Linked DNA regions of Diceros bicornis minor. The protein of the gene in region 2 purifies or fractionates together with the protein of the main gene of each other region. This does not show direct contact. Links are inferred from orthologs where the notes say so. Each region holds a gene or a part of one and is shown on either strand. Other genes may lie near its edges. The genes, in order: ATG7, FOXO1, SIRT2 and SKP2.

What was found.
Region 1: the proteins of FOXO1 (region 2) and ATG7 purify together in Homo sapiens (affinity purification with western blotting; 4 studies listed by BioGRID). This does not show direct contact. The link is inferred for Diceros bicornis minor from reciprocal best matches to the Homo sapiens genes FOXO1 and ATG7.
Region 3: the proteins of FOXO1 (region 2) and SIRT2 purify together in Homo sapiens (affinity purification with western blotting; 3 studies listed by BioGRID). This does not show direct contact. The link is inferred for Diceros bicornis minor from reciprocal best matches to the Homo sapiens genes FOXO1 and SIRT2.
Region 4: the proteins of FOXO1 (region 2) and SKP2 purify together in Homo sapiens (affinity purification with western blotting; 4 studies listed by BioGRID). This does not show direct contact. The link is inferred for Diceros bicornis minor from reciprocal best matches to the Homo sapiens genes FOXO1 and SKP2.

Annotation. Positions count from the first base shown.
Region 1 is NC_080741.1:83,968,131-83,975,388, reverse strand, and holds the start of ATG7 (ubiquitin-like modifier-activating enzyme ATG7), read right to left. Parts: upstream 3,002-7,258; 5' UTR 2,980-3,001; intron 2,936-2,979; exon of another isoform or gene 890-2,935; intron 1-889. UniProt on the Homo sapiens protein: E1-like activating enzyme involved in the 2 ubiquitin-like systems required for cytoplasm to vacuole transport (Cvt) and autophagy.
Region 2 is NC_080748.1:24,852,864-24,860,018, reverse strand, and holds the start of FOXO1 (forkhead box protein O1), read left to right. Parts: upstream 1-4,155; 5' UTR 4,156-4,542; coding exon 4,543-5,190; intron 5,191-7,155. UniProt on the Homo sapiens protein: Transcription factor that is the main target of insulin signaling and regulates metabolic homeostasis in response to oxidative stress.
Region 3 is NC_080773.1:13,005,576-13,012,501, forward strand, and holds the start of SIRT2 (NAD-dependent protein deacetylase sirtuin-2), read right to left. Parts: upstream 3,019-6,926; 5' UTR 2,960-3,018; coding exon 2,944-2,959; intron 2,109-2,943; coding exon 2,062-2,108; intron 1-2,061. Other genes in the region: NFKBIB (NF-kappa-B inhibitor beta), read left to right, coding at 3,397-3,575. UniProt on the Homo sapiens protein: NAD-dependent protein deacetylase, which deacetylates internal lysines on histone and alpha-tubulin as well as many other proteins such as key transcription factors.
Region 4 is NC_080759.1:32,941,691-32,949,647, reverse strand, and holds the start of SKP2 (S-phase kinase-associated protein 2), read left to right. Parts: upstream 1-4,944; 5' UTR 4,945-5,069; coding exon 5,070-5,113; intron 5,114-5,614; coding exon 5,615-5,886; intron 5,887-7,957. UniProt on the Homo sapiens protein: Substrate recognition component of a SCF (SKP1-CUL1-F-box protein) E3 ubiquitin-protein ligase complex which mediates the ubiquitination and subsequent proteasomal degradation of target proteins involved in cell cycle progression, signal transduction and transcription.

The DNA.
Region 1 (7,258 bases), on a different chromosome or scaffold from region 2:
GAGGAAGCCATTAGTGAACTTGGGTAAATTGGACTTCCAAATAAAATCTCACAGGTGGTCAGGCATAACCAACCAGGGACCACTAAGCGAAGAACTTGGTTATTACTTATTTCCACAGAGGATTCATCCCCTCCCCCCGCCTCAATATCCTGATTCCTGGCTCCCTCCTCTCCTTGCCATCCAATCAGTTACCAGTCCAGTAAATCCTTCTTCCTTTATCTCTCAACTCCACCCACCCCTCCCCATCCCCACAGCCACTGCCTTGGTTCAGGCCTCTCTCCCATGTGACCTGGACCACTGCAACAGCGCCCTGACTGGTCTCCCTGCTGGTCCTGCCCTATTCAGTGTAATCACCACATTGCTGCCTGGGTAATTTAAAACAGATGAGAGGATGTCACACCCCTGTTCAAAATTCTTCAGTGCCCCACTCTCCAGCCCTGTGCTTTCAAAATAAACTCCAAATTTCTTAGCATGGCAATACTAACTGCTACAGTTTAGAGTTTACCATCTACCAGTGCCAAGTGGGTAAGAGATATCATCTCATTCAATTCTCACAGCAACCTTGGGAGGTAGGCTATATTTCCCTTTTACAGATGAGTAAATAGAAGCTTAGAAAGGAAGCGACTTGCCCAAGGTCACAAAACTAGTTCAGCAGCAAAACCAGTGTTGATACACAGGTATCTTAGATTCCAAAGTCTGTGTTCTTAACATGCAACTGCCCACAAGGCCCTTCGTGATCTGGCTCCTGCTTACCTTTCCAGCCACCCTTATCCTACACTCCACTCTAACTCGGGGCAACTACCTGCAGGTCACGCATTCTCACCCACAGCCATTTGCTTGCACCCCTCCCAATGTCTGCAAAATCATCCCACCTCCCATCCCTCTTCACCTGATTAATCCTGCTCATCCTTTAGGACTTGGATAAAGCAACATCTCCTCACAGAAGCCTTCTCTGATGCCTCAGCCTGACTTAGCCTGAGCATGCTAAGTCCTTCTCCAGCAAACTTCAACAACAGCTTCATACCATAGTGCTGTTGTCTACCTCCTTGACTTAAAAAAAAGTAAACTCCTTGAGGACATGGATGTGTATCTTACTCACTTTCATGTTTCCACTTGCAGAGCAGTGCCAGGCACAGAGCAAAAGCTCAATAAATATTTATGCTTATTCTCTATTACGAGAAGCTGGCTGGGAAGAAAAAAGGGACCTTGTGGTTGAATGCAAGCCCAGTTCTCAGCTCTTTAAAGGGTTTCTAAACCATGTCACATGAGGGGCAGGGAGGAGCTGGCCAAGAAAAGAGGGGGAAGGGAGATGTTCTAGGCAGCAGAAACAAAGGACTGTAGGTGAGACACAGCCTGTAGGCAGTTTAACAAGACTAGAGCACAGAGGTGGGGGATGGGGGAACAATTAGGCAAGATGAGCCTTCACAAGTATGGCTTTTTCTTCATTCCGGTGTTAGATCAAACGTCACCTCCTCAGAGAAGTCATCCCTGATCAGCTAGCTTTAAAAAGAGCTCCCTCTGCTTCCCCTCAGTTACTCTCCACGCTGTTACCATTTCTTTTTTTCGTAGCATCCATCAGGATCTGAAACACCTGCCAACCATTAAAAGTATCGTATTTATTGACAATCACAACAGTCGCCACCACTACCATCAAAAGTAGGGTCCATGAAACAGGGCTGTTTTTTTGCCTTATTTTACCACTACATCACTGGTGCTTACAATAATGCCCGGCACATAACAGGCACTCAAATATTTGCTTTATTCACTCATTCAGCAAATATTTACTGAGCATATATAATATGTCAGGCACTGTTCTATACGCCAGGGATACAACTACAAATAAAACAAGTCAAAATTCTCAGTTATGTGGAGTTTACTGTGGCTAAATAAATTAAATATGCTTAGCCTGGAAAAGAAAAGGTGGGAAGAGGAAGACAAACTAGCAGCTTTCAAAGATGTGCGGGGCAATTCCGTGAAGGGAGAGCCCAAGAGCCTGAAAGAGGGACAACCAGCTGAGATCACTAGGGAACCGCTTTCAGCTCTGCATACGACTTGTTATGAGTCAGAGCTGGGGGCAGACCAAACAGGAGTAAGGCCAAAAGTAGTGAGCTTTCTGTCACTGAAGAAATTTAACCAGCGAGCGGGGGTGCCACAAAAGAAATCCAAGTATTCAGTGGGAAAGGGAGCCTGGGATCCAGAGGCCCCAAACTGGCAGCCACAGATACGCCTGGTTACAGGCGCAATTTAAAAAAATGTTTTCTATCACTTGCCAATGCTTTTTAAAAAATCATTAGTCATTAGTGTTTAAAAATCAAGGGATTGCACGTGCCCGCACGCACACACACACACTGAAGTTCTGGGTTCATTTCTTCAATATGTTAGTATTGCGCTCATAAAACTCAATTCAGTAAAAATAAGTTTGACTGACATAAAATTTTCTTACACCCACATTTACCTAACCTGACTGATCAAGCATTCAAGTCTGTAGCATCCGGACCAAACCAAGAAATCGAGCACCTTGGATCAGAAAAGCCCTTCGAGCTGCCTTAACTGAACCTCCTCGCCTCACCAATGACGTGTTATCACTCCCACATCACAGATGAGGGAAGAGAGGCTCAGCAAGGGGAGGGATGCGCCACAGCCACACAGCAGACCGTGGCAGGCAAAGCCAGGACCAGAACCCAGGCGTCTGTCTCCAGGGCTCCAACAACGGAGATTCGGGGCACTCCCCGCCAGAGACAGGACAGCAGCGTCCTGTCCGAGCACCCCGGCTGAACCAGTCTGAGGGAACGTGACTGGACGAGGGCGAGAGCCGCAGTCAGCGACTCCCTGGAGACAGACAGCCCAGGCACGGGCAGAGGAGGATCCTGAGACCCGCCGCGACCCTCGCCCTCATCGCCGAGCTCGCCTTTTCCCGCCAGGCCTCCAAAAGCCACACCGAAGCAGCCCGCGCCTCCCTCACCGCTGCGGCTCACTTACCGCCGCTCAACTTCCGGCAACCACACAGTCATCCGCAGCGCGCGCCCCGATGACGCAACGCGGCCCCGCCCCCGCCTGCCGGGGCGAGAGGACGGTGCGCGTGCGCACACAGAGCCTCGGGCCAGCCTGGTAAAGGAGCCCCTAGCACCAGGCTGAGGGGGCGGAACTTGAGGCGTGGGGAAGGCGGGACATCAGGAGGTGGGCGAGGACCCCCTGGAGCGAGCCGAGGCACAGAGACTTTCTCCCGTTTATCAGATGTGGGATTGTGTATATGTGCCCGTGAGACTTTTCAAAAAGTGCTCCACGTTCTTTCTTTTGATTTTAGAGGATGACAGGAATTATCATTATTTCCATTTTCCAGGAGAGGCAGTATCAAACGAATCACGGGGACCACGAGGAAGGCAGGTATGGAGACACAGGAGATGAGAATTTTAATAGGTAAAGGTCGATGAAAGTCGACACTGACCGACTTGCTCTTTGTAAACCAGACATTATTCTCATAGCTTCCTGCTGTCAATGAGATAAAGTTATTCATTCTAAATTATTTATTGAGCATATACTCTGTACCAGGCATTGGAGAAGTGTTGATACAATAGTGAGTGTAAACTTAATCTGACATATAAGGCCATTCACAAAGCGCCTCTGACGTAGCTCTATAGACTTACAATAACAAGAGTAATGACTACTATTTATTATCTACAATGTTTTCAGGTTTTCACATCTGTAATCGCCACAAAGGGCCTGCAAGGTAGATGTTATATTATTCCCATTTTACATATGAAAGAGCGGAGACTAGGAAAGGTTAAGGCGCTTGCTGAAGGTTAAAGAGCTTTTGGGCCAGGAGTCTAACAGAAGCCTGTTTGACTTACTGAGGAGATACTTTATTCGAAAGGATTGTTATAAGCAGTGGGGAAGGAGAGGGCGGGGACTATTGCAATGGGTGGGGGAGGGAATCTTGCAATAGGGAGACTCTGACCAAAAGATCTGCAAGTGTCTCCAGGGTTAGGCAAAAAGAGTTTTTCTTCCGTAGGGAAGAGTGAAGGCAAGAAAGAACTCCGGTGGGAAAGTGAGAAGAAAGCGTGGCTTGATTGGACAGTAGTAAATCATAGGATGTTTTACTTTGAGGCCAGCCTGTTCTCAGGAGGGGTGGTATGCCGGCTCCATCTCTGCTACCCTCACCCTTCCTCTGCTTGTGTAACCCTTTCCCCATCTTCAAAATCCAGTTGAAATGTTGATAGAAAAAAGAGTACATATTATATGATTCCACTTATGTAAAGTTCTAGAATCAGCAAAACTAACATAGTGATAGAAGTCAGATCAGTGGTTGCCTGAGGCATAAAGGGAGCATTGTCTGCAAAGGGACATGAGGAACTTTCTGGCGTGATGGAAACGTTCTATATCGTGATTGAGATGGGTATGACATTTGTACACATTTGTCAAAACTCATCAAACTCTATATTTAAAATGAGTGCATTTTACTGTATATATTTAATGTAATAAGTTTGATTTTTAAAAAACCCAGTAGAGGGGTCACCTCCTATGTGAAGGCATGCCTGACACCCACCTACCTCCAGGCTTCACTCTATTAAGGTTATATGAGGCTAGGTTGAAGTTAGTTCTTTTTAACCTTGTTTCCCCTGCTGGACTTCGAGATCCTTAATTTAATACCTTGTGGAGTTTCTGCCGAGCTCACTCTGCCGAGCTCACAAGGATTCCCCCTTCTCTGGGAACTGCTGGTTCTCCTACATGTGCCACCTGGCCTCCCACCTCTCTTCAGAGTTGACTGCAGCAGAAATGGACACAGGATGATTCTTTACCCTGAGCTTTGGACTTGAGAACTGATGCTCATAGAAAATAGGAACAGGAATAATTCATATTGGTCAATGGCAATATTCTATAGGGAACTTCCTCAAATTCTGACCGTTGAGGTTCCTGTGGCTGACTTGGCTCAAGCTCTTCCTGAGGTGAGGTCATCTAAAACGTTATTGGATTTCACAAAACACCCCAGCAGCCATTCACAAAGCTGGTTTCCATCACTTCCAACCCTGAAGTAGCTCCATAGGGTTGAAACCATGTCATCTTGTTCTCCATGGTCTCCTAGTGCCTGGCTCAAGAATTGGCCCAAGAAGTGTTCAAAAAGTATCTGTTAAATTAAGAGATGAGGTCTGGGCAGCCAAAATAGATGGTGACTCAGGTCACAAATGTGGCCTCCTTGTTAGCAGGAATTAGGGAGGCTTGGAGCAGAAGACCTGCCCCTGCTGCCCAGGATGGGGGATACAGACCCTTGGGGCACCAAGATGATGAAGCATCAAGAAAGATGCAAGACCAGGAGCCATAAAAAGGCAGAGAATGTTCTCAGATGCAGCAGGACAATGAGGCCCTTGACACTTATTCAAGACCACAATGATTCAGGTCAACCCACTTTTATCACTTGCCTTGCAGCTCAGTTGAGAGCACAGACTCCCTACAATGGGAACCATATGCCATGCCACCTACGCTTTGAAAGCCCAAGAAATCGTGGAATGACACGTTGGCAAATGAGATCTTAACAGCGTTGTTTCTTTACAGCACTTAGAGTGTGTTGCAGCCAGGAGAGCCCCAGCATCTTTTTCACCCTGTGTTAAGACTATTAAATCTACCTCCTGGAGGGCTCTTCTTCAAAAGAGAGATCAACAATTTTCTGCAAGCCAAGTAGCCAAATGATCACTTCATCAAATGGCCAACCTGCAGACTTGTAGATTTTCTGAATGAACACTTTGCAAATGTCACCAACTTCTAAGGTTTACAACAATTTCTATTGGATGGAATGGCTTCATGAGCTTCTAAAGATTTATGTGATGCAGTAGTTGACTGGTTTTCACGTCGTCTTCAGAGAAGCATTTGAAAGAATTTTCTATTTATCAAAAGCTAAGGATGGTTTATTCTTCCTTTGAATATATTTAACTTATGACTACATTAATGAAAAATATGTTCTTGAATGTAGATTTTTCTTAAGTGTATTAATATTATGCCACTCGGTCTATTATCTTTTTGTCTCTGACTCTCCACTTCTACTTTTCTATCTTCTTTCTCATTCCTCAGTTTCTCCCTATGTCTCCCTCTCAGTGTCTCCCTTTTTCTCTCACTAAATGTCTCCGTCTCTCTGGCTCTTAGTGTCCATCTGCCCCTTAGTATTTCCCCATCTCTGTCCTTGTGCACATCCATTTTGCCCTCTCCCTCTTCTGTCCTTTGGTGACCCCATCTCTTCCTCCTAGTCCATCATCTCTGACCCTCTGTCTCCCCCCACCTCCCCTAGTTTCCTCTTCTTTCTACCCCTTATCCTTCCTTCTCTCATCCTCAGTCTCTTCACCTCTATTTCTCCCCTGTCTACAACTCAGTCTCTCCCTGCAGTAGCAGCAAGCTGGGGACAAAGACAAATTGACCTTCTTCAATATGTGGCTATGAAGAAAAACGAAAATCAGTTGCTATAACTTCACAACAATTGTAGAAAACTGTTCTTAAAAGCCTCATCCAATATGTGTCATTGTAAACCCTGTAAATAGTTAAAAAGATGCCAACATTTGATAAATTTGGCAAATTGGTCATTCGAGGAATTGGCTTTAAGCTAATTAACTTTAAGCCCATAAAAAGAAACTCGAAGGAGCTTCTGAGTCTGCAAGTTCTTATCTACAATCAAGGTTTCTATGACAGCCTTCTCCTAGAAGGTATTTATTTTAATATTTCGGGCAGAGAGCCTGGTTTCAGCTAGATTTTGTGCAAGCCACTGGCCACTGATTCTTTCCTGAATGGGCTGAGGCTGAGTTATTTCCGGACCATGGTCTATTGCCTTTTATAAATTCAAGAATTAATTCAATCAATCATATAGGAGTAGGAAGAGCAGGTAGATACTGTGGAAAAGAAATGTATTCCAGAATCAGATTTTGGAGCCGGTCCTTAACCTCTCTGTGCTTCCATTTGCCTGTTTGTAACAACACAGCAATCTTCCTCATGAGGTTGTTGTAGAGGTTAAATTAGATAATGGTGGTAAAGCACGAAGCCTGGCACATGGTATATGCTCAGTATGTTTGAAAACTACATGTGAGTCCCCACTGTGTACCAGACACTCTGAAAGCACTGTAAACACTGTATACAGTAATGCATGGTCTGAAAGCACTGTAAACACTGTATACAGTAATGCATGGACCTTGTTCTTTATGCTCTGACAATTTATATTGACAGTTTCTTGTTTTTGTCAGACTCAAATCCAGGTCTCTGATCAAAGTCAGAGCTCATAGCCACT
Region 2 (7,155 bases):
TGAAGCTGTGTTTTTTCAGATTATTATTGTCTGTGAGCAAACTGAAGAAAGGCTATTTTAGGTTGATAGCAGTACCTCCTAATAATTCAGACAAAATATTGGAAATGGGCAGTTATTGGGGAAAGGGAATGCAAAGTATTAAGTGTCATGACTGAAAAATAAGAATCCAGGCTTTTCACTTACTCATTGAATTGGACTTAAATTACCTATTTGGACAAGAATTTAAACCAGAGATCAGTGTGTTGGTGGTGAGGGGTAAATGCAGAAGTTTCTGCCTGGGAATTGATCAAAGGGAACCATCCCTCAGTCTTCCTGTCAATGATGACGCCATAATTACCCTGAAAACCAGGCAGAGGAAAGAAAACCACATTGGTTTGTGAGATGGGCTTTGTGAGGATAAATTGCCTTTTTCATTTTAATTGTCTTTACCTGACATGAAACATTTTTCTTCCTAGTTTGGCCACATGCACTAACTAATAAGTGATAATCATGAGAAAAAGCCTTCAAAGCAAACAGCTACCACAAAAAATACTGAAGAAGAAAAGAAATAAACTTTTTCTCTTAAACAGAACTAGTGCCAACCTAAATACTTTGGCATCCTTCAGAGAGAGAGAAGATGTTTACATTTTTGACTAAAAAAAACAAAACCACTTCTTTTGTAGTCTTTTTCCTTTACTTATCTTACTATCACTATCATCTTTTTGTGTCTGTTTTTTAAAATCTTTTTTTGCTTGTGAGGAAGCTTGGCCCCTGAGCTAAGATCTGTTGCCAATCTTCTTTTTGCTGAGGAAGATTAGCCCTGAGCTGACATCTGTGCCCATTTTCCTCTATTTTGTATGTGGGACACTGCCATAGCATGGCTTGATGAGCGGTGTGTAGGTCTGCGCCTGGGGTCCGAACCTGCGAACCCTGGGCTGCTGAAGCAGAGTGCATGAACTTAACCACTACGCCACTGGGCCGGCCCCTAAAGTCTTTTGAATCAAAACTTCACTCAGTTCAATGCAGTTCATCTAACTAAATTTAATAAAATCTGTGGGATTGACTAGAGAGAAAAACACCACAAAGTTTTATAGTGGTTATTGCTATATTGGCATTACAGAGTATTTATAATTTTCCATCTGTGTATTGAGAAGATTATTGATGGGAAAGCAAGAAATCAGAGCTCTAGCCTTGGCACCACCACTCTTATTTGTGTGACTTTGGGCAAATCAGTTAGCCTTTCTGTGCCTCAATGTCCGTCTCTGTAAATTAAAGGGGGCCATCAAGGTGATCTCCAAGTTCACTTTCTTTTTTTTTTTTTTTTTGTGAGGAAGTTCAGCCCTGAGCTAACATCCATGCCAATCCTCCTTTCTTTTTTTTCCCTGAGGAAGACCGGCCCTGAGCTAACATCTATTGCCAATTCTCCTCCCTTTTTTCCCTTTTTCTCCCCAAAGCCCCAGTAGATAGTCATATGTCATAGTTGCACATCCTTCTAGTCGCTGTATGTGGGACGCCACCCCAGCATGGCCAGACAAGCGGTGCATCGGTGCGCTCCCGGGATCCAAACCCGGGCTGCCAGTAGCGGAGCTCCCGCACTTAACCACTAAGCCAGGGGGCCGGCCCCCAAGTTCACTTTCGACTTGAACATTCTGTGGGTCTAGGTGAGAAGAAAGTTTAGCTTGACACAACCCTTATGGAGGGCGATTTGGCAGTGTCTCTCAAAATTACAAATGCGTTTAACTTGCTGACCCAGTGATCTCTCTTCCGGAAATTCCTCCTATAGAGATACTTGCACAGATGCAAAATGAGTTTTTCAGAAGGTTACTCATTACAGAATAGTTTGTGATAGCCAGAGACTGGAAAGAAGCCAAATGTTCACTAGCACCCTGCGGTTCAGTAAATTGATACATACAACGGTATGGTAAGCAGTTATAAACCCCCTTTAACATATATTTTTAATTCTTTTTTGAACTATGTGTCAGGGACATGGGCACTGTAGATACTCTATGCCTGCTTCAAGTCAAATAAAAAAAAAAAAAAAGCAAAGCAAACTATGATATTTAAAGAGACAATTAGGCAGGATAGCCCAGAAGATTTTAAGGATCTGGGGAAAGTCTGTAAGAATAATCCCTTAACCAATACTCTCCGCAGATTGAGGCCCTGAAAAACCGGAATTGAAATGAAGGCAAGCCAAATTTGCAGCTGGCTTCCCTTGCCAGGAATGATCCACTAGGGCACCGCCTATTTGAAGGGTGCGGCCGTCTGAATCCGGACCGCCTCTGCAGAGCGTAATTGGAAAGGTTGAGGGTAGCAACACTTCTACGTTACGGCCTTCCTTTGAGCTCATCATCTGGGTTACTGAGGTCCTCTAGCGGCTGGAAGAGGAGGCCCGATCTGTCCAAATGTGATAGTAAACGCAAAGAGACCACAAGAGGAGGAGGGTGGGAACCAGCCCTATCCTCAATCCATCGGGCTCACGACCCCCACCCCACACATCCCCAATATCAGTAGGAAGCTGTTGTGATAAGTGGATTATGAAGAATTAGGGGTCTGGACTAAGGCAATGATAGTAAGAATGTAAAGGAAGAAATAAATCTCGAAGTCTTTTCAAACTTTTGTACAAGAGGCCTATTTTCTTTAGATGCCACTTTTTCAATGGAAGAATTACCTATAAGAAAGAGAGGGGATTTTTTTAGAATTGGGAGCTGTCATTTTGGACAAGATATTTGCAACCCTACTGTCAATCTTCCATCCTAAGTGATCCCATCCCTCTGACAGGAAATGCCTTCCATATTCCTCCTAAAAATGCAAAAGCAAAACAAAACAAAACTTGAAAACCGTTTCTTCTACTCCCTGAGACACAAGGGCCATTGTCTGTCTACCTTTGGCCCCACTGATCTCGACAGGACGTCCTGGAGCTGGAGCCCAGATGGGGAAAGGTGGGGTGGGGGTGGGGGTTGATTGACGCACGCGGCGAGCAGCCTAAAGGAACTTGGGGGTGGGGCAGGGCTGCCTCCCAAGGCTTCGGTCCAGTCTCCTCTAGAGTTTTTACTTCTCAACACCTCATCATTTCTAAATAGCAAAGAAATTACAAGCAAACAGTTAAACTTAAGTATTGGTAAGTAATAAAGTGACAAGGTTCTCGCTAAATGCTCTCCTCTAACCCCTTCCCCGCCGCCCCTGGACTGACGCGGGGACAGTCTGCGGTTCCCGCCCAGGAGAAGAGGTTCCCACAGACAGCATGAGGTCTAGGATGCCTTTGGGTCTGTGTGCGCCTGTGAAATAGGACTGTCTTCTTCGCGCCGAGCCCCTTTACCTCATTTCTAGCCTTTTAGGTCAAGAAGACAGTGAACCCGGCTGGGGGCTGCTGGGCTGGAAGACTGGCCCCGGGCTAGAGCAAGCGGCAGAGGCTCGGCTCGGGGGTGCGGACAGGTGGGTTCCGGGCGCGGAGGCGGCGGGCAGGGCGCCCTCCCGGCGGACTTGACCGCCAGGGCCCCGGCGCCGGGGGCGTGTGCGGCCCGCGCGGGGGCCGGAGGACTTGACAGATCGCAGAGAAAGAAAACAAAAAACAAAAACAAACCCCTCGACTTCCCCACGTTTCTCCGCAAAGAAATCGTGGGTGGAGCCGACATGGGGTAATTGAGAAGAATTCCGCGAGGCCGCCTCCGTCCGCCCACCCAGCGCCCCCGGAGCCCAGAGCGACCCCGGCCCCCGCCCCAGCCCGCTCTGCGCCCAAGCGGAGGTCGAGGCGACGCCAGCGACTCATTCCACTCGGGCTCCCCGAGTACTCGGCTTTGCTCTTCCGTAGTAAACAAAGTGTCGCCACCGCCTCCACGCTGGTTTGCCTCCTAGCGATCAAAACAGTGAGAGGGCGAGAGACTCACAGAAACACTTGAGAATTACCAGAAAATAATAACAGAGATCCGAAAAAAAAAAAGAGAGAGAGAGCGTGAAAGAGAAAAACACCCCACTACCCCCCACCAACCCACTGCCGCCTCCTGGTGGAAAACAGGCCCCCGCCCAGGTGGTCGTCCATTGGCTGCTCGGGCCGCGGTGCCACGCGCTAATTGGCCGCAAGAGCTGTCAGTCAGGGGCGGGCCGGCGCGCGCGCCGCCGCGGGCGGGGGGCGGCGGCAGATCCCGTAAGCCGCCCGCCGCGTAGTCGCTGCAGCCGCAGCCGCCGCCGCCACATTCAACAGGCAGCAGCGCGGCGGTCGTGCCGCCGGAGAGAGCTAGCGGCCCGTGGCGTCTGTTCGTCCTTCCGTTCGTGGGACCTGTCAGCAGGAGCGCGGCGCCGCTGCTGCCCGGCCTGGCGACTCTGGCCTGCTGTCCCGTCTGTGAAGCGGACCTGAAGGATCCTCGATTTTGATGGACCCGCGAAGTTAAGTTCTGGGCTCGCGCTTCCACTCTGCTGCGCCTTCCTCCCGGTTTCCGTCCGCTCGCGGCACCGACCTCGCCCCCCCAAATCTTGGACCGGCTCTTCGCGCCCCCTCCCCTTGGCCCCCGGGGCTGCGCTCTACCCCTTCTTGGCTCTCCCGCGGCTGGGGGAGGGGCGGGGGTCACCATGGCCGAAGCGCCCCAGGTGGTGGAGATCGACCCGGACTTCGAGCCGCTGCCTCGGCCGCGCTCGTGCACCTGGCCACTGCCCAGGCCGGAGTTTAGCCAGTCCAACTCGGCCACATCCAGCCCGGCGCCGTCGGGCGGCGCGGCCGCGAACCCCGACGCCGCCGCGGGCCTGCCGTCGGCCTCGGCCGCCGCTGTCAACGCCGACTTCATGAGCAACCTGAGCCTGCTGGAGGACAGCGGGGACTTCCAGCAGGCGCCCGGCTCCGTGGCGGCGGCGGCGGCGGCGGCAGCGGTGGCGGCGGCGGCGGCGGCGGCTGCCGCCACCGGGGGACTGTGCGGGGACTTCCAGGGCCCGGAGGCAGGCTGCCTGCACCCGGCGCCGCCGCAGCCCCCGCCACCCGGGCCGCTGTCGCAGCACCCACCAGTGCCCCCCGCCGCCGCCGGGCCGCTCGCGGGGCAGGCGCGCAAGAGCAGCTCGTCCCGCCGCAACGCGTGGGGCAACCTGTCGTATGCCGACCTCATCACCAAGGCCATCGAGAGTTCGGCCGAGAAGCGGCTCACGCTGTCGCAGATTTACGAGTGGATGGTCAAGAGCGTGCCCTATTTCAAAGATAAGGGCGACAGCAACAGCTCGGCGGGCTGGAAGGTGAGTGGCCTCGGGGCGGACGGCCAGACCGGGGGGACGTGCGGGACCCTTGGCTCTGGCCGAGGTCGCGGTGGGGCAGCCGAGGGGTGGCTGTGCAAGTTTGCTTGATCTCAAAGAGCGGCGCACGCGGGCAGCGCGTGCAGGGAGCGGGCGAGAAGTGGCCGATGTGGGTGGTGGGCTTGCCCGGACCCGTCGGGGGACAGGAATAAGTGTGTGCGCACGCTCGCTCCCGTGCGAGTTGGAGCGGGAAGGGGCTCATGTGGGAACTAAGAGTAAAAAAACCACGCCAAGAAGTGGACATCAGAACGGGCAGAAAAGTTCGCCAGGGGAAGGAGAAGGGGGTTCACTGGGAGCTGCGCCCCCACGGCCCGCGCGGACTCCTGCCGGTGCGCCTTTTCCTCCAGGACCTCGGGGTGAGGGCGGCTCCTTCGTCCCCGGGGCGCGCGTCCCCTCGTCTCCTCGGCCGTGGGCCTCGCCGGGAGTCGTTTCCGCCGCGCCGGGCGGGGGAGCGCGCGGCGAAGGGCATCGGAGCCTCGCCGCTGGGGACGGGGCTGCAGGTGGAGGGGACAGGCAGGGCGCCAGCCGGCCCGTAGGGCTGGTCGCGCAGTTTTGGTGTGCATTTTGCTTTGTTTTGATTTTATCCGAAGTGAGCTGGAGTGCAGGGGGCCGGGCGCGCAGAGCCCGAGGTACCCCGTCCGACCCGTGCGAAGGGGCGGCCACAGCCTGCGCAGCGCCGGCGCCCGGCGGCGCTGGGCGAGCTCAAGTTCAAGTGTGACTCTCGGCGTGGGCGTGGGCGGGAGCTGGCGACGGCGAGGGAGGGGCCGGGGCGCAGGAAGCGAGCGCCGTTAAAGGGCCAGCGCGCCCCGGCCGTGCGCGGCTCAGCCAGGCCAGCGCTTCTTTGCGCGGGGAAGTGCCCCCAGACTTGGCCTTGCCCACCGTGCGAGGCCTTTAATTAAGCACCGGCAGGCTCCCCTGCGTGACCAGGGCTGGGGCTGTGTGTACCTTCTCTCTCGTTTTGCCACCTCAGTGTTATCGAGCACGGAGGTACAGATCCGAGGGGTAAGGCAGGGGGATTTGTGACAAGTGTTTGGGGAGAGTCGGAGTGGAAGTGCGCATCAAGGGGACCGGCAGGGACCTCCTGCCTCGGTGGGGGCCTCTAGATGAGGCGCCTCTGGCTCTTCGCGTTTCAGAGAGAGACCAGGAGAGACTCACCGTGAGGACAGGCACATCCCTACCCCGAGGTAGAGAAGGCCCCGGGGCCCCAGGAGCACGGGCTCTGGGGAGGCTTCTTGGGGGTCCATTTGCGGTGCGGCTTCCTGAAGCTGACAGCTTCTTACCGTCACAGGTGGAGGGATGTATGTGAAGGTTCCCTAGTTGAGCCAGACTCCTCCCTCACTCTTCGTCCTGACTGTAGAGCGTAATAAAGACTGATCTTGGCTGCGCAGTTATTACACTAAAGTTGTTTTACATACACTGTCATTCCTGTGGTTAATGTGTGTCCAAAAGGTTAAGTTACTCATGTTGTGTTGAAGTTCCTGGAGAAGGAGCTGGGATTTTATTTTTTTCAAAGTGTGTTTTAGACTAAAGGCATCACTTCCAGACTCATTACTAGGCATTACATGCAATTTTCCAAGTGTTACAGCAGGTAAAGTGTCTCCTTACTTTAAGCTCCGTGTGTAGTCTTTTAAGTCACACAATTAGAATTGTCCGCCAGATCCGATTTGACTTAACATTTGAATTGAAGTGCTTGCCTTACTTGCTCATCTGTCAGTCTTACTTGAACTGTTAATAAAGCATTTGCTGTTAAAAGAAAAAATCCTTTTTTTTTTTTGGCATTCAAAGTACAGTGTGTACTTACACCATTCTTTTACGTCCTTGGAAATGGATACAACCTACTTCAGCTTGCTGGAGTGCCTTTCTTTAAAGATAGAGAAAGGCAAAGTTTGGGGATTATTTTTAGTTTTG
Region 3 (6,926 bases), on a different chromosome or scaffold from region 2:
CTCCCGCCATAATGTGTCCCCTCCCAGGGCTCCAGCTGGTCTAGCCCGTCCTCTCCCACCAGGGGCCCTAGGCTCTCAGCTTCGGTCTCTCCGGTCTACTCTGCTACCCTCCTCGTGATGGCCTGTCCGGGTCAGCCCGCTCGCCTCCACTGCAAAGACCCTTCCCTTTGGCTTCTCCGGTCTAATCATCTGATCATGAACAGCCAGAGTCTACCACGATATCGGCTCCACGAAGGCAGGGATGTTGCGTGTTCACCCCTGGACGTCCAGCACAAGAACAGGGTCTGGCACCTGGCAGGAGCTCCAGAACTATCCATCACTGAACAAATACCTGCTGTGTGCTGGGCCAGGGCTGGGCCCTGCAACAGACCTCATAAAAACACAATTCTGACCAACTCACTCTCCTGCTTAAACCCCTCCTACAACCCTCTCCCCCATTACTCCCTCTCAGGTTCCAAGCCTTTTAGTATAGGAACCTCCTTTCTAAACATATTTAAATTGTTTTATTGCTTTTTAAGATTATATAAACTTTGCAAAAACTCTGACCATTAGACAATGTATAACTTGGGCACTTGCCTGGTAATTCTCTCACCCACCCCGGCGAGATAACAACTGCTATTAGCAGTACAATCATTACTCCAGATTTTTTCTCTGCATAGAAACCTCACTATTTTTCCAGAAATGGGTCATACCATAGTACGATGCTGCACCCTGCATTTTCCTTGGAACAATACACTATAGACCCACCTCCTTCTTTTAAGCAGCTACAGAGTTGCATTGTAAGGATGCACCATAGTTCATTTCACCCGTCTACTGACAGCCATTCCGGCTGTTTCTAGTTTCGCCCTGTCACAGACAATGCTGCAATTTACATCCTGAATCTCTCTCTTTGGGACTGAGGATTCCTTTTTAACATGCAACCTTTTTCTCTGACAGTAGTCCGGCTTGGGGAGCCAGAGGGAGAAGCCCCGGCCTGATGGAGGCTCTTATACTCTCTTGCAGGCAGCTGTGGGGTGCTCTAGTCACAGCTCTGCTCTGTCCCCCATCTGAACAGCAGCCTCGCGTCTGTGGGTGGGCTGGCACTCTTTCAGGCTGCAGACAGTGAGGCTCTGTGGAAGGACTCGAGGGCCCTGCCCAGCACGTGGGGGCAACTTGGCTTAGGGGGAGCTGGAGGTGCTGGCGGGGCCTTCGAGCCTCTGTGAGGCGGCCTATCTACCTCTCCCCAAAGCATCTGGAAGGCACTGTGTGTGTCAAGTGCTGTGGGTTGCAAACAGAGGACAAGAGGCTTGACAACTCTGCCTCAAATTCCTCATCTATAAAATGGCCACGATAGATCTTGCCACGCACAGGGATGCTGGGAAGATGAAATGCGATGATGCATATAGAACACTAAGCAGAGCACCTGGTTGGAGTAAGTACCCATGAATATAAGTAGCTGACCACCCCAGCCACCGACTACTGAACACATCACCCTCTTTCACGCCCCTCCAGCCTTTGCACAGGCTGGACCCTCTGCGTGGAACATCACTTCTCATCTTGCCTAAGGAAACACTAAGGCACTCTTCACTTACTATGATGTGTCTGTACCTCAGTCTGACTCCTAGACCAGCCTGTGGATTCCTCCAGGGAAGGGACTGGCTGGAATCTCTGTGACCCCACAAAGTTGCCTCTGGGCTCCCACAGTGCCCTGAGCTACTTTCATAATCGCCCTGTAGGGTCATTTTCTAGTCATTTGTCCATGAGATCCATGAGTTCAGGGACCAGATGGGATACGTGTCTCTTCCAGCAATGACACAAATGAGGTTCAGAAAGGTTGGCGGAGGTGGGGAGGTGGGGGAGGGATCTGGGGAGAGGGCCTGGGGTTGAGGCTGCACGACCTTCTCTGACAGTCCCCAGAATCCACCATTCCCCAGGAGGCTGACCGGGGAGGTGGGGTGAGGGATTGGGGCAGCGAGCTGAGGGCCCTGGGATAACTGTCTCCCCTCTGTCACCTCCCCCAGGGGAGTGGGGTGTGGGAACAAGCACATCTCTCTCCTTCCCTCCACCCTTTCCCCATCTCACCTGAGCTTCCTGCACCTTCCCTGCCTGGGTCTCCAGAGGGTCAGAGGCTGGGGGAGGAGGGGGAGTAGATGTGGTTACAGTGGGGGGAATGGTTAGGGGGAATGAAGGGCTTCAAAGTAGGGGAGCAGGGGGCAAGAAGACTCACCAACCTAGTTATACTGGGGTGGGGGCAGTGGTAGTAAAAACGGAGTAGAGGGAGGGAGGGGATGGGGAAAAGCAGATCTTATTTGAGTGGAGAGGGCTGGGGGGAGAGGCGGTTAGTGAGGGACAGAGGCTGGGACGGGAAAGTTTAGGAGAAGGAGGAGAAAGTAAAGCATATAGGGCATGGAGGAAGACAGGAGGAGGTAGGGAGGACATAATAGTATGCGAGTGTGTGCGCGGAGAGGGTCAGGTTTACAGGCAGAGGGAAGTTTAGAAAGTAAGAGAAGATGAGAGATACTCTGACTGGAGGCAGGTTTGGAGAGGAGGCGTGGTGGGAATGGTAGGTTTAGGAGAGGCACAGGAACTAGAGGGAAGAGACAGGAGGGGATATAGGGGTCCCCTAGCTTCCTACAGCTCCCTCCATCAACCAGATACCCTTAGCAACCGGGACCGCGGCAACCTAAGTCCTTAGAAACGAAGGTCCTTAGCGACCAAGGTGCGAGAAACACGCAATCATGGGTAACTTGGGGGACGTGGCAAACGGACCCTTAAAACCTCGCGACCCAGAAACCCACCGACCTAGCAATACGGATCACTTAGCAACGGCCCGCCGAGTCCCACTCGCCCCCCTACGCAGCCCCTATCTGCTGCCCCATCAAGCCCACCCTCGGGCCCCGGGGCCTGCAGCCCTCAGCCAGGCCCCGGCGCGGCCCGACCCTCCCACCGGGGCCCCCGACTCACGGTCCGGCTCGGCCATGGACGCGGGGCGGGAGCCCTAGGAGCTGTCACCGACTGCTCTGTCCCGTGACGGCACCGGAAACAGGAGGGACAGACATAGGGCAGAGAACTACAACTCCCAGCAGCCATCGCGGCCGCAAACAAGCTTTCGCAGCCTCTCAGGTAATGAAGACTCCCGAGGGCCAGACTACGAGTTCCAGAGTGCCCCGCGCCAGCAGCCATGTTGGTAAAGGGCGCCCGGAAAATGTGGGAATGGGTAGAGAGCCGCAGTCCATCTGAATACTCTGATTGGTCACAGTGTGGTACGGGGGTGGGGCATGTGCTATTTAGCCCACGCTGATTGGGTGAGTCAGGGGGCGGGTTGGGGAATTCCCCGCAGGGCGGAAGCGCCAGACATCCAGGCAAAGCCCAGCGACGGGCGGGCGGCCGCTGGGGGCCCCTGAGGCTTCGGGGGCCATGGCCGGGGTCGCGTGCTTGGGGAAAGCCTCGGACGCCGACGAATGGTGCGACAGCGGCCTGGGCTCTCTGGGTCCGGATGCGGCGGCCCCCGGAGGACCGGGGCTGGGCGCGGAGCTGGGCCCAGGGCTGTCGTGGGCGCCCCTCGTCTTCGGATACGTCACTGAGGATGGGGACACGTGAGTGAACCTTAGGTTGCCTAACCGGGCCCTAGGATCCGACATCTGATTCCCTGTTAGTTTCTGATCCCGGCTTCCCAACCTCTCATCCTAAATCTGACTTCTGATGCTTGACTTCCTGATCTCTAACCCCCAAGTCCTAACCTTTAATAAGACCAATTTCCTCTCCAGCTTTGATCCTAATCCAATAATTTCTGACCGTTCTTTCTTGAACTCAGGTTCTCAGATTTCCACATCCCTATCCATTGATCTCAAAAGTCAATTTAACCTTCCTGACCCCAGTCCGGAGACCTTTGTTAGAACTGTAGCTAAGGCAGGCCCTTCCTGACCTCTAATCTCCAAATATGATCGTTGATCCTTAGCTCTTGATTTATGAGCCTTTTTCTTTGATTTCCCAATTAATACTTGGCCTTTGACTCTAAGATCCCACCTTCTGAGCACTAGTTTTCAAATCTTACATTCAAAGAGAAAATATAGGCTCTGTGACAGCAGGGATTCATCTGTTAAACAAATATTTATCAAACGCTGCCATGTTCTAGGCCCTGTTTGAGGTGCTGGTAATAAGGCAAGAGAAGAAAACAGACAAAAACATATGCCCTGTGGAGCATACATTCTAGTGGAGGTATGTGGACAGCCAGACAGACTGACAGACAGACAAGAAGGAAGGGAGGAAAAAGAAAGAGAGAGAGAAAGAGAGAGAGAGAAGAAAAGAAAGAGAAAGAAAGGGAGAGAGAGAGAAAGAGAGAATGAAAGGGAGACAGAAGGAAAGACAGACAGACAAGACATGGAGGAAGGCACAAAGAAAGAAAGAGAAAAGAAGCGAAAGACGGGAAGAAACTAAGACAGAAAGAAATGAAAGAAGAAAAAGAGAGAAAAGTGGTATGTTAGAAAGCAGTAAGTTCTTTGGACAAAAATAAAGCGGGAAAATGAGACAAGTAGATTGTCTGGGGAGAAGAGCAGTCCAGGGAGAAGGAACAACAGTTGTAAAAGCCGAGGGGGGGTTGTCCCTGGGTTTGTGTGTTGTGTTTTCTCCTGTCTCCCCATAGGAGCACTCAGTAAACATTGATCTTCTCAAAGAACCAGCTTTGGTTTCATTACTTTTCTCTATTTTTTTTTTCTTTCTATTTCATTGATCTCTGTTCTGACTTGCATTATTTCCTTTCTTCTGCTTACTTTGGGTTTAATTTGTTCTTCTCTTCCTAGTTTCTTAAGGTGGAAACTGAGGTTGTTGATTTGAGACCTTTCTTCTTTTCTAATCAAGGTGTCGTGTGCTGTAAATTTCCCTGAGTACTGCTTTAGCACTATCTCACAAGTTCTGATATGTGTGTTTTTCTTTTCTTTTTTTTTTTTTTTTTTGTGAGGATATCAGCCCTGTGCTAACATCTGCCAATCCTCCTTTTTTTTTTGCTGAGGAAGACTGGCCCTGGGCCAACATCCGTGCCCATCTTCCTCCACTTTTTATGTGGGACACCGCCACAGCATGGCTTGCCAAGCAGTGCGTCAGTGTGCGCCCGGGATCCGAACCAGCACACCCCAGGCCGCCGCTGCGGAGCCCACGCACTTAACCACTTGCGCCACTGGGCAGGCCCCTGTGTGTCTTTATTTTCATTTCAATTCATTTAATTCAGTATAATTTCTAATTTCTTTTTGAGTTCTTCTTCGGCCGGTGGATTATTTAGAAGCATGTTATTTAGTTTCCAGATATCTGGGAGTCTTTCTAAATATCTTTCTTTTATTGATTTTTAATTTAGTTCCATTGTGGATGAGAACATACTTTGTATGACTTGAATCCTTTTAAATTTATTGAGACTTGTTTTATGGCTCAGAATGTTGTGTGTACACTTCAAAAGAAAGTGTATTCTGCTATTGGTAGTGTAGTGTTCTTTACATGTCAGTTAGAGGTTGTGTTGGTTATAGCATTGTTCAAGTCTATATCCTTGCTGTTGAGTTTGTCTCTTTGTTATATCAGTTGTTGAGAGAGAGGTATTGAAATCTGAAACAATAATTGTGGATTTGTCTATTTCTCCTTTTTGCTCCATGTAATTTGATGCTCTGTTATTAGAGGCACAAATGTTTAGGATTATTATGTCCTCTTGATTAATTGATTTCTTTATCATTATGATATAACCTTCTCTATCCCTGCTAATATTCCTTGCTCTGAAATCTACTTTGTCTGATCAGAAAATACTCCTGCTTTCTTTTGAGTGACTCGTGTTAGCCTGGTATATCGTTTTCCACCCTTTTATTTTTAACCTTTTTTTTTTTTTTTTTTTTGGTGAGGACGATCAGCCCTGAGCTAACATCCATGCCAATCCTCCTCTTTTTGCTGAGGAAGACTGACCCTGGGCTAACATCTGTGCCCATCTTCCTCCACTTTATATGGGACGCCGCCACAGCATGGCCTGACACGCAGTGCATCGGTGCACGCCCGGGATCCGAACCCTGGCTGCCAGCAGCGGAGCGCATGCATTTAACTGCTACGCCACGGGACCGGCCCCCTTAACCTATTTTTTAATATTTATATTTAAAGAATGTTTCTTGTAGGCAGCATAGAGTTGAGTTTTACTTTTTAAGTCAACCTGACAATTTCTGCCTTTTAATTGGAGTGTTTAGGCCGTTTACATTTAATTTAATTATTGATACGGTTATGTTTAAGTTTATCAGCTTGTTATTAGTTTTATACTTATGTCTTCCTTGTTTCTCTTTTCCTCTTTTTCTGCCTTCTTTGTGAAGGAGTAAATATTGTTCCATTGTATTTCTTTTGTTGGCTTCTCAGCTTTAACTGTTTGTTTTGTTATTTTTAGTGGTTGCTTTGAAAGACAAGGGTTGGCACACTATGGCCTCCAGGCAAAATCCAGCCAGCCACCTGCTTCTGTATGGCCGTGAGCTAAGAAAGGTTTTTACATTTTTAAATGGTTGAAAAAAAATAAAAAGGAGAATATTTTGTGGCAAGTGAAAACTATGTAAAATTCTAACTTCAGACTCCATAAATAAAGTTCATTTGGAATAGAGCCACATTCACTTACATATTGACGATGGCTGCTTTTGCATGACAACAGCAGAGCTGAGTAGGTGCAAGAGAGACCATATGATCCACAAAGTCTAAAATGTTTGCCTGGCCCTTGACAGAAAAAGTTTGCTGACTCCTGCTCTGGGATAGTACAGCTTTAACTTATTATGGGCTACCTTCAAGTGATGTTGTGCCACTTCACCTAGAGTAAAAGAACCTTAGAATAGTATATTTCCATTTGTCCCCTCCTGGCCTTTGTGTATATGTAAAATGTCATACATTTTACTTATACATATGTTATAAACTCCACCATATGTTGTTATTATTTTTGCTTAAACAGT
Region 4 (7,957 bases), on a different chromosome or scaffold from region 2:
TTATATGCTGAACTGTAACCATGTGCAGCTGTGCAAAAAAACTACTGAAGGGCAAAAGGGGAAATAGGCCTCTGAGCACAACAATGGTCCTTCTAATAATATTCTTTAAATATTAAAATAATGTGTTTAGGCTAAATGGAAAACAAGAAGAATATACTAAAATTTGAGGCAAATCAAAATTCAGTTCCATGTGATAAGAAATGAAAAAGAGACTTAAAGCTGTCATGGGTTGGCATTAACACCACAGCAGCAAAAGTAGATTTTACTCAAAATCAAAATGCCAATTCTTTCATTCAATCGAATTTTAACATCTAATATGCGGACATAGTCTACCTCTCAAAATACCAGTTCTGAAAGTCCTAAACACTTAAAATCCAATTCAGTGTTCTACCAATAATCAATATATTATACAATATTACCTTCAAATTCCTTTCATAATTAGCTTGTTAATGATACTGACTTGGAGTACTGTTTCCTGAGGGAAAGAGAGACAGGAAGGAAGGAAGAATTCATAATAAATGAACAGGAAAACACACACAAAAATTTTGTTAAAACCAAAGATCCTGAAACTGAATGAAAAATTTGACTGTCAGTCAGACTATCTGACTAAAACCTAATGATTCATCAGACTCAGATTATGTTAACTTAAACATGTATCTTTACTCAGATACATAAAGTAACAAAAACTAGGAGACAACTCAAGATCCTGCTAATGAAAAATCAAAAGAATCTGAACTAGACGTGAGTGATGAAAGTCAACAATTCTCTACCACCAATCAAAATATAAATCTTCCGAAGATAGTCATTATTCTTATGTTTAAAGACTCCAGGGATAGAGAGAATTCAGCTTAGGATGTAGACAGAATACCAGAAGAGAATATTGCTCCCACTCTAAAAATGGGAAAAAGTCATATTTCTTGAAGCTATCTTCAAAAAATAAGCTGAGGTGGCAAACCAACCAGGTGAACTGAATTCCAAAGCATGATAAGCCATTTGGAAGATAGACAAATATCAACTGTTTCACCTTTGCCAAGGTATGAGAGAGGAGGTAGCAACCATGTAAGCAGGTAAGAAGAAAACAACCGGATTTGTAATGAATTCTGGTATAGACATTGTAAGACTTATTTTGGAAACTGTAGAATACTCTGAGTCCTTCCTAATAACAAAATAATTTTTTAAAAAGGAATAGCTATCATTTAGCGTGAGTTTACTAAATTCCAACCATTGTGCTAGCACTTAACACACTTTGTTGAATTAGACCTCACAACCCAGTAAGAAAGGAGTGTTAGTATCCTTGTTTAATAGCAGAGAAAACGGCACAGAGAGGGTAAGTAATTTGTCCACGTTCCCACAGATGGTGAGTGGCAAAGCTGGGATTCAAACCGAGGCATCCTGACTACAGAGCCTGGCTCACAATTAGGATACTACACGGTCTCTTCCCCAGTCCAAACATACTTTTTTAATGCAATTTAAATTATTTAAATCATTTTTGTTCAGTTTTCATAGTGAACAAATTAGAAATTCTCCTATTATTCCTTTAGATATATGAAGATAGAATGCTAAGAAAGTCATGTTTAATATAGAATTTAACTAAGCCTTTTTACCTTGCAAGTAATACTGCCATTACTAAGGGTAATATATAACTCTAATCTACATGGGAAAAGTAAAAAGAGCAAATTAGAACTGGGGAAGAACCCTTCTGTTCTTGCCCTAATCTGTCCATCAGAGAGAGCACTAAACTGCAGAGAACTAAAGGTCTACTTTAAAATTAATCAAGGGAAAATAACTCTTTTGAAATCTGATTGGCAGATAGAAACTTCTTGCTATGTAATTGTTCTTAGTCTTTTGTTCCCCTAAGCTAAATAACACAGAAAAAAAAAAAGAAAAGAATTTTAAGATTTACTTCATGCTATGATTCAGGAAGTAAAGAAAAAGCACATCACCCTTCTATTTAAATAGAATCTCTTTTGTTTTACTGATTTTCAAAAAGATCACTAATATACTACTGTATATATATGGCTTATATATACATATATATATATTTGACTATAGCTTATAGTCAAATATCATTTCCAGGCCTTTTTGGCCCCTCCTGTGCCCTTGTAACTATGCTTTTGCCCCTTTGTATAACTTTCTCAATTTACAAAGTCACTTAGTATTCTATCTGAAGCTTCCAATGAGTACTAGAAATAACTCATCCCACAGTCATTTGCAGATATTAAAAAAAAAAAACTATAATTCATTTGTTGTAGATACTGATCTAGTAATTCTACTTCTAGAACTATGGTATACCTCTTTTACTAAAATGGGACATGGGGTGTGCTAAGATCAAACAAATGAAATTAATCAGGAAAATAAAAAAAATCCACATCAGTAGCAATCACGATGCAGTTCCTGAAGAGACCAGGCAGCAATCTCTAGTGACCTAGTAATCTCAAGTCTTCAATGGACACAATTCCTTACATTAAACAGAACCACATATACCAAATTAAACTTTTATTTACTATATTAGGAGAACAGCCATGATTAGAAGGAATGCAGAAAAAAATTATGCCCATATTAGCAAGCTACAGCGTTTCTCTTGTGAGTGCAAAGTGTTAGTCAAATATCTATTCTAGTATTAGAAGACTTCGATTTGCAGAGTTGAAAGGCTCTCTCTGAAGTCCTACAGAGGATCTGGTGTCCACCAATTCAGATACTGCAAGTATTCTGTGAACTAGAAATGTTCCCTAGCTCTCAAGCAACTACTAGCTAAGTCCCAGACTGAACAGGATACTTCTCATCTTTAAATTTAGAATCATCCCATCTCTTAGACCTTCTATCTATGAGATCTGTATCTAAAGTGGCCTTGCCAAATTACTTTATATCTCAAAACTTTGTTTATTCTCATCATGGCATTTTAAATACTTTTTTCCTTGTTTATTCTTTCTCCTCCCTTACTTACAAGCTTCCTCTGTCTTGTTCACTTTCCTGAAGGAGACTATAACTTTTATTGCTAAAAATACCTTCTCTAGTGGCTGGCCCCATGGCATAGTGGTTAAGTTCCAGGTTAAGCTCCAATTCAGTGGCCTGGGGTTCGTGGGTTCAGATCCCAGGCGCGGACCTACATCACTCACGAAAGCCATGCTGTGGCCATGACCCACATACAAAATAGAGCCAGACTGCCACAGATGTTAGGTCTGGGCCAATCTTTCTCAAGCAGAAAGAGGAGGACTGGCAACAGGTGTTAGCTCAGGGCCAATCTTCCTCACCAAAAAAAATATATGTATATATTTTCTCTAATGAGTTGCAATTTTAAGGGAAAAGATGTAGATTTCAAAGGAAGGCCACTGCTTTCTCCTTAGCCAAAGTAACATAAAACTGACTTTATGTAAAAAATCAGAATACTGCATTTAAAAATATTTTCCATACACTATTAGTTTAATGGTTTGTGAACATTCTACATAGTATTCTTTACCTAGTTTCAACCAAAATCACTTTGTGACCAGATCCCCTTTTTACACCAATTCCACCTACTTTCAAGAACAACTTGAAGCTTCATGAATACTTTCCTCTCTTAAGAAGTGGTTACTTTTCAAGCTAAGCACCAACCTTGAAACAAGCACAGACGTGGGCAAAGGAGGTTTAATTCATGTTTTTTAAAGAAATGAATCCTTTTTTTAAAACAACTAAGAATCACTTCTTTAAATAAAGTGTGTCACACAGCATAGTGACCTACTATTTTTGAGATGAGGCTGGCCTGCTTGCTTCTGAACTTTTTAAATCCTCTCCATTTTCCTTAGGGTCGGAATTTATTCCCCTTCCCTCTTCCACTGTTCTCCCGGGTTCACAGTTAACAGTACAGTTTGCACAACGGATTTCGCATGGTCATCCTACCTGGAATATGGCACGCTCCCTACTCTAAGCGCCCCCCAACTCTTCTCCGCAGAGATAGGCTAAAAGCAGCTGTCTTGACGGCGGCGACGCAACCCCAGACACAACCGGTTGAGCAAGCGCAGCCGAATGGCTTTGCTGGTGGCTCGCAGCGTTGCATTGTCAAGCCCTTTGCAAACATATAGTCACCTGATTTGTTCCCACGCTAGCCCTTATAAGACTAGTCAAGGCTGCCAGGGGATGCGCAGCTTTCCCACTGCACACAGGAGCCACTATGGTCTCCTGCTCCCCTAAAACTAAACCACCGCCTCTCGTTCGAACTGCGCTTTAGTTTACAAAACGCGTTATCTTATCCGCCCCTCTTTCCAAGCCTGGGAGACGAGCGTCGTCGTTGCAGTGCCTAGTTTACAGGTGAGCAAAGGATCCTGCCCACAGACCCGGTCCTAAGGGCCGCCCTCTCCTCCGTGGAGGAGGCAGCTTCCTGGGAGAGGGGAGAACAGCTGTGACGCCCCGGGCTCGCAGCCTCTCACCTGGCCGGTGGGCCGGGCTACCGCCTCCACTCAGCTTCCGGGAACGTGGGCCCCGCGGCGGCGGCCAACCGGGGTCTCCAGGGTCCTCTCGATGTCCGTCTGCGCGCGGCCCCAGACCCAAAGCGCCTCACGCTCTCTCCCTCAGGCCCACCGTCCGATCTCGCCAGACAGCGTCTGGAAGGCCCAGGAAACTCCGCGTCCGCCACAGCCGTCCAGGGTCTGGGACCCACGCGCCGAGGCGACAGCGGTGGCGGTCACCAGAAGGCCTGCGGGTTCGCGGGAAAGGAAAACCCGGCCCCAGTCAAGCAGCTGACATTTCTCAGTCAGCCGAAGCACCGCCCACTTCCGCTTCCCCGCCTACTCCGTGGGCTCTGCAGCCCCTCAGCCGCGGGGGGTTGTGGGTATCGCGAGGGCGGGCAAAGCTGCAAGGAAAGAGAGTAGTGGCGAGCCAGGCGGACTACGGGGCAGGGCAGAAACTACAATTCCCAGCAGGCAGGGGGCCGCAGACGGCGGCTGCGGAGGAGAGCGGGCAGAAGAGCTCTGCGCGCGCGGCGGGGATGGAACGTTGCTAGAGTTCGCGGGTCTTGCTGCTGCACGCTGCAGCAGCACGCTGTGAGCCGCCGCGCGCCAAAGCGGGAATCCGGGAGGCGGGCAGCTCTGCAGTCAATGCACGCATTTAAAACTCCCGAACCTGTAGACGCCATGCACAGGTAAACTGATTGCAAAATGGGGCAGAACATGAATGGACCTTCTTAATTCATTTAGGCCGCGGATATTGCTACTTGCAATATTGTTACTAATGCTGCAATGCGAATGATTGCTTAGCCGCTTCTTTGGGAAAGCGCGAATGGATGGAAGCTTTAGTGCGGTGATCAGCGTGCGGTTTTATTAGGCTCCCCTTATTGGGCTTCCCTGCTACTGTTTTCAATCACTGTGTGATTGCCCTCTTTCTTTCCTTGTCTGTTCTCTCGACTTTAAGAAATTCTTGAGGCCTTCTGCATGATCGTAAATCAAAGAGCCTTTTCGATTTGTTTGGTTATTTTCTCTTTCATTCTTGGGAACTCGCTACCATCACGTAAAAAATGCAATTCTGTTAGCTATTGTGAAAGTTTTCTACAATGCGTAACTGGCAATTCCGTTTAGGCCTACCTTGGAATTATTTACGGGTGTGTTGTAGAAAGAAGCGGGGTGGCTATTGTGCATCTTTGCAGGAAACACCTCCAGGAGATTCCCGACCAGAGTAGCAACGTTACCACCAGTTTCACGTGGGGATGGGATTCTAGCAAGACTTGTGAACTGCTGTCAGGCATGGGGGTCTCCGCCCTGGAGAAGGAGGAGGTGGATAGTGAGAACATCCCCCAGGAACTGCTCTCAAACCTGAGTCATCCGCAGAGCCCGCCACGAAAACGGCTGAAGAGCAAAGGGAATGACAAGGACTTTGTGATCGTTCGCAGACCTAAGCTAAATCGAGATAACTTTCCAGGTAATGTATGAGGGTAAAACTGTCAATCACCCAAAGGGTGTGTTGAACTAGTTTGTTGTGCAAAATGGAGATTTGTTCAGGGATCTTTAGAATGGGGCCCTTTTAAAATTGCCTAATTCTAAAGCTATTTTCCAAAGAAATGAGACAACTCATTGTCGTTGAAGTCTACAGGAATATTGGTAGGAACATATCTTCTAATGCACAATTGACTTTTGATCCATGTGAAATTTTAACCCATGAGAAGACATTCCTGCCTTTTTCCTTAGAAGGGAATCTGCCTGCTCAAAAGCCAGCTCAGTGCCACTGATAAATGGGAACATAAGCAAAGATCTTCTTGTAGGATTCTTTTTGTTTATATTCTGCTGCTCTATAGCCCTGGTTGAGCTTTTTGCTATAATCACTTTAGTTATTTGTCTAAGAACTGCTAAAGTGAAAGTTAAACACAAGTGGAGGAGACTTATCTCCCCAAGTACACTCTCAAATGGGCTTCCTCTGGCATGCCCTGTCTCCATTACTGCCAGCATTAAACCCAACCCAACCCAACAATCTGAGGGTCACTCAGATTCCCACCATCCCCTGACATCCAGCCAATCATTGAATCTTTCCCTCTTGTCTCAGAAATATTCTCAAGCTTTCATCATCTCTTGCCTGAACTATTGGAATGGACTCAGAATTCTAGCCTTATCCTCCCCAGATCCATCCCCAGAGTTAGAGTGGACTGGTTGAAATGTAGAACTCACTATATCATTCCCCTCTTAATAGCTCCCCATTCCCAGTCTTCTCGGCAGGTGAGAGAGTGCCTCCCAGAGTGTCTCCCAGAGAACCCCAAGAGTACTCAGTCATAGGGTAAACATAGTGCATTGACCTGGGGTTATCAGTTTTTCTTGCTAGTAAGTCATTTAAAACACTAATTCAGCAAATATTTGCTGACAACATGCTATGTGCTAGGCATTGTTCTAGGTGCTGGGGATACAGCAGTGAGCAAAACATAAACATTCCTATGCTCGTGCAGCTTCTGTTCTAGAGAGAGGACACAATAAACATAATAAATATGGTAGGTAGTATGTTAGAAGGTGATAAGTGCTATAGCTAAAAACAAAAATAGAACAAGCCAAGAGAGATTGGAAGGACTAGAGTGGGAAGATGGATTGCAATTTTGAGCAGGGTATTGAAGGAAAGCTTCACTTAGACAGTGAGCTTTAAGCACAGGCATAAAGGAGGTGAGGGACTGTGCTATGCAAATACCTTGGAGAAGAGAGCAGCAAGCAGAGGGACCAGCCAGTGCAAAGACCCTGGGGCAGAAGCGTGTCATGTTTGTTGAAGGAACAACAGGCAAGCCATACTCCCAGAGTGGAGGGAGGGAAGGGAGAGTAGTGGGAGATCAGGCTAGAGGTGGTGGTGAGCAGAGTTGTGATGTGACCTTTTAAAAGGACACATTCATGTGTTGAGATTAAAATGTAGAGGGTTGAAGGTAGAAGTTTAGAGACTTGTTAAGAGGTATGGGCTTGGTGATAAACTGGTCAGATTCTGGATAGATTCTGACATTAGAGTCAACAGAATTAGGAGGCTATTGAAAGTGTCTGAGTAGAGGTGATAAGTCTAAACTGAAATTGGGTGGGCAATGGAGAAAAAGAGATTAAAGAAATAAAGATGAAGTCTTGCAGATCCAACATAAATAAGTATATTCCTAAATTCTTCCCATTTGGCTTCTTTTGCAGAAGCGTTGATTGGTTGGTTGGTTGCTTGCTTTGCTTTAAAAAAATCTGGGGTTTTTTTGGTTTTTGACCTTTTCATTAGGAAAAAGAACCTTCAAGTTATGGTCTGGGAATCTGCATCAGGAGTTGGTTAATTAAAAAGGCAGCGAAGGATTGTGGTGAATTCAGACAAATCTGGGTTTGAATCACTATTCTGCTGTTTATCAACATTGGCAAGTTATTTGAGTTCTGTGTGCCTTAGTTTCTTTGTGAAATGGAGTGATAATACTCACTTCATGGGCTGCTGTGAAGATTAGATGACAGAGCACACGTAAAGCTCTTAGCGTGCTGCCTGGCACATAACACTCAATACGTAA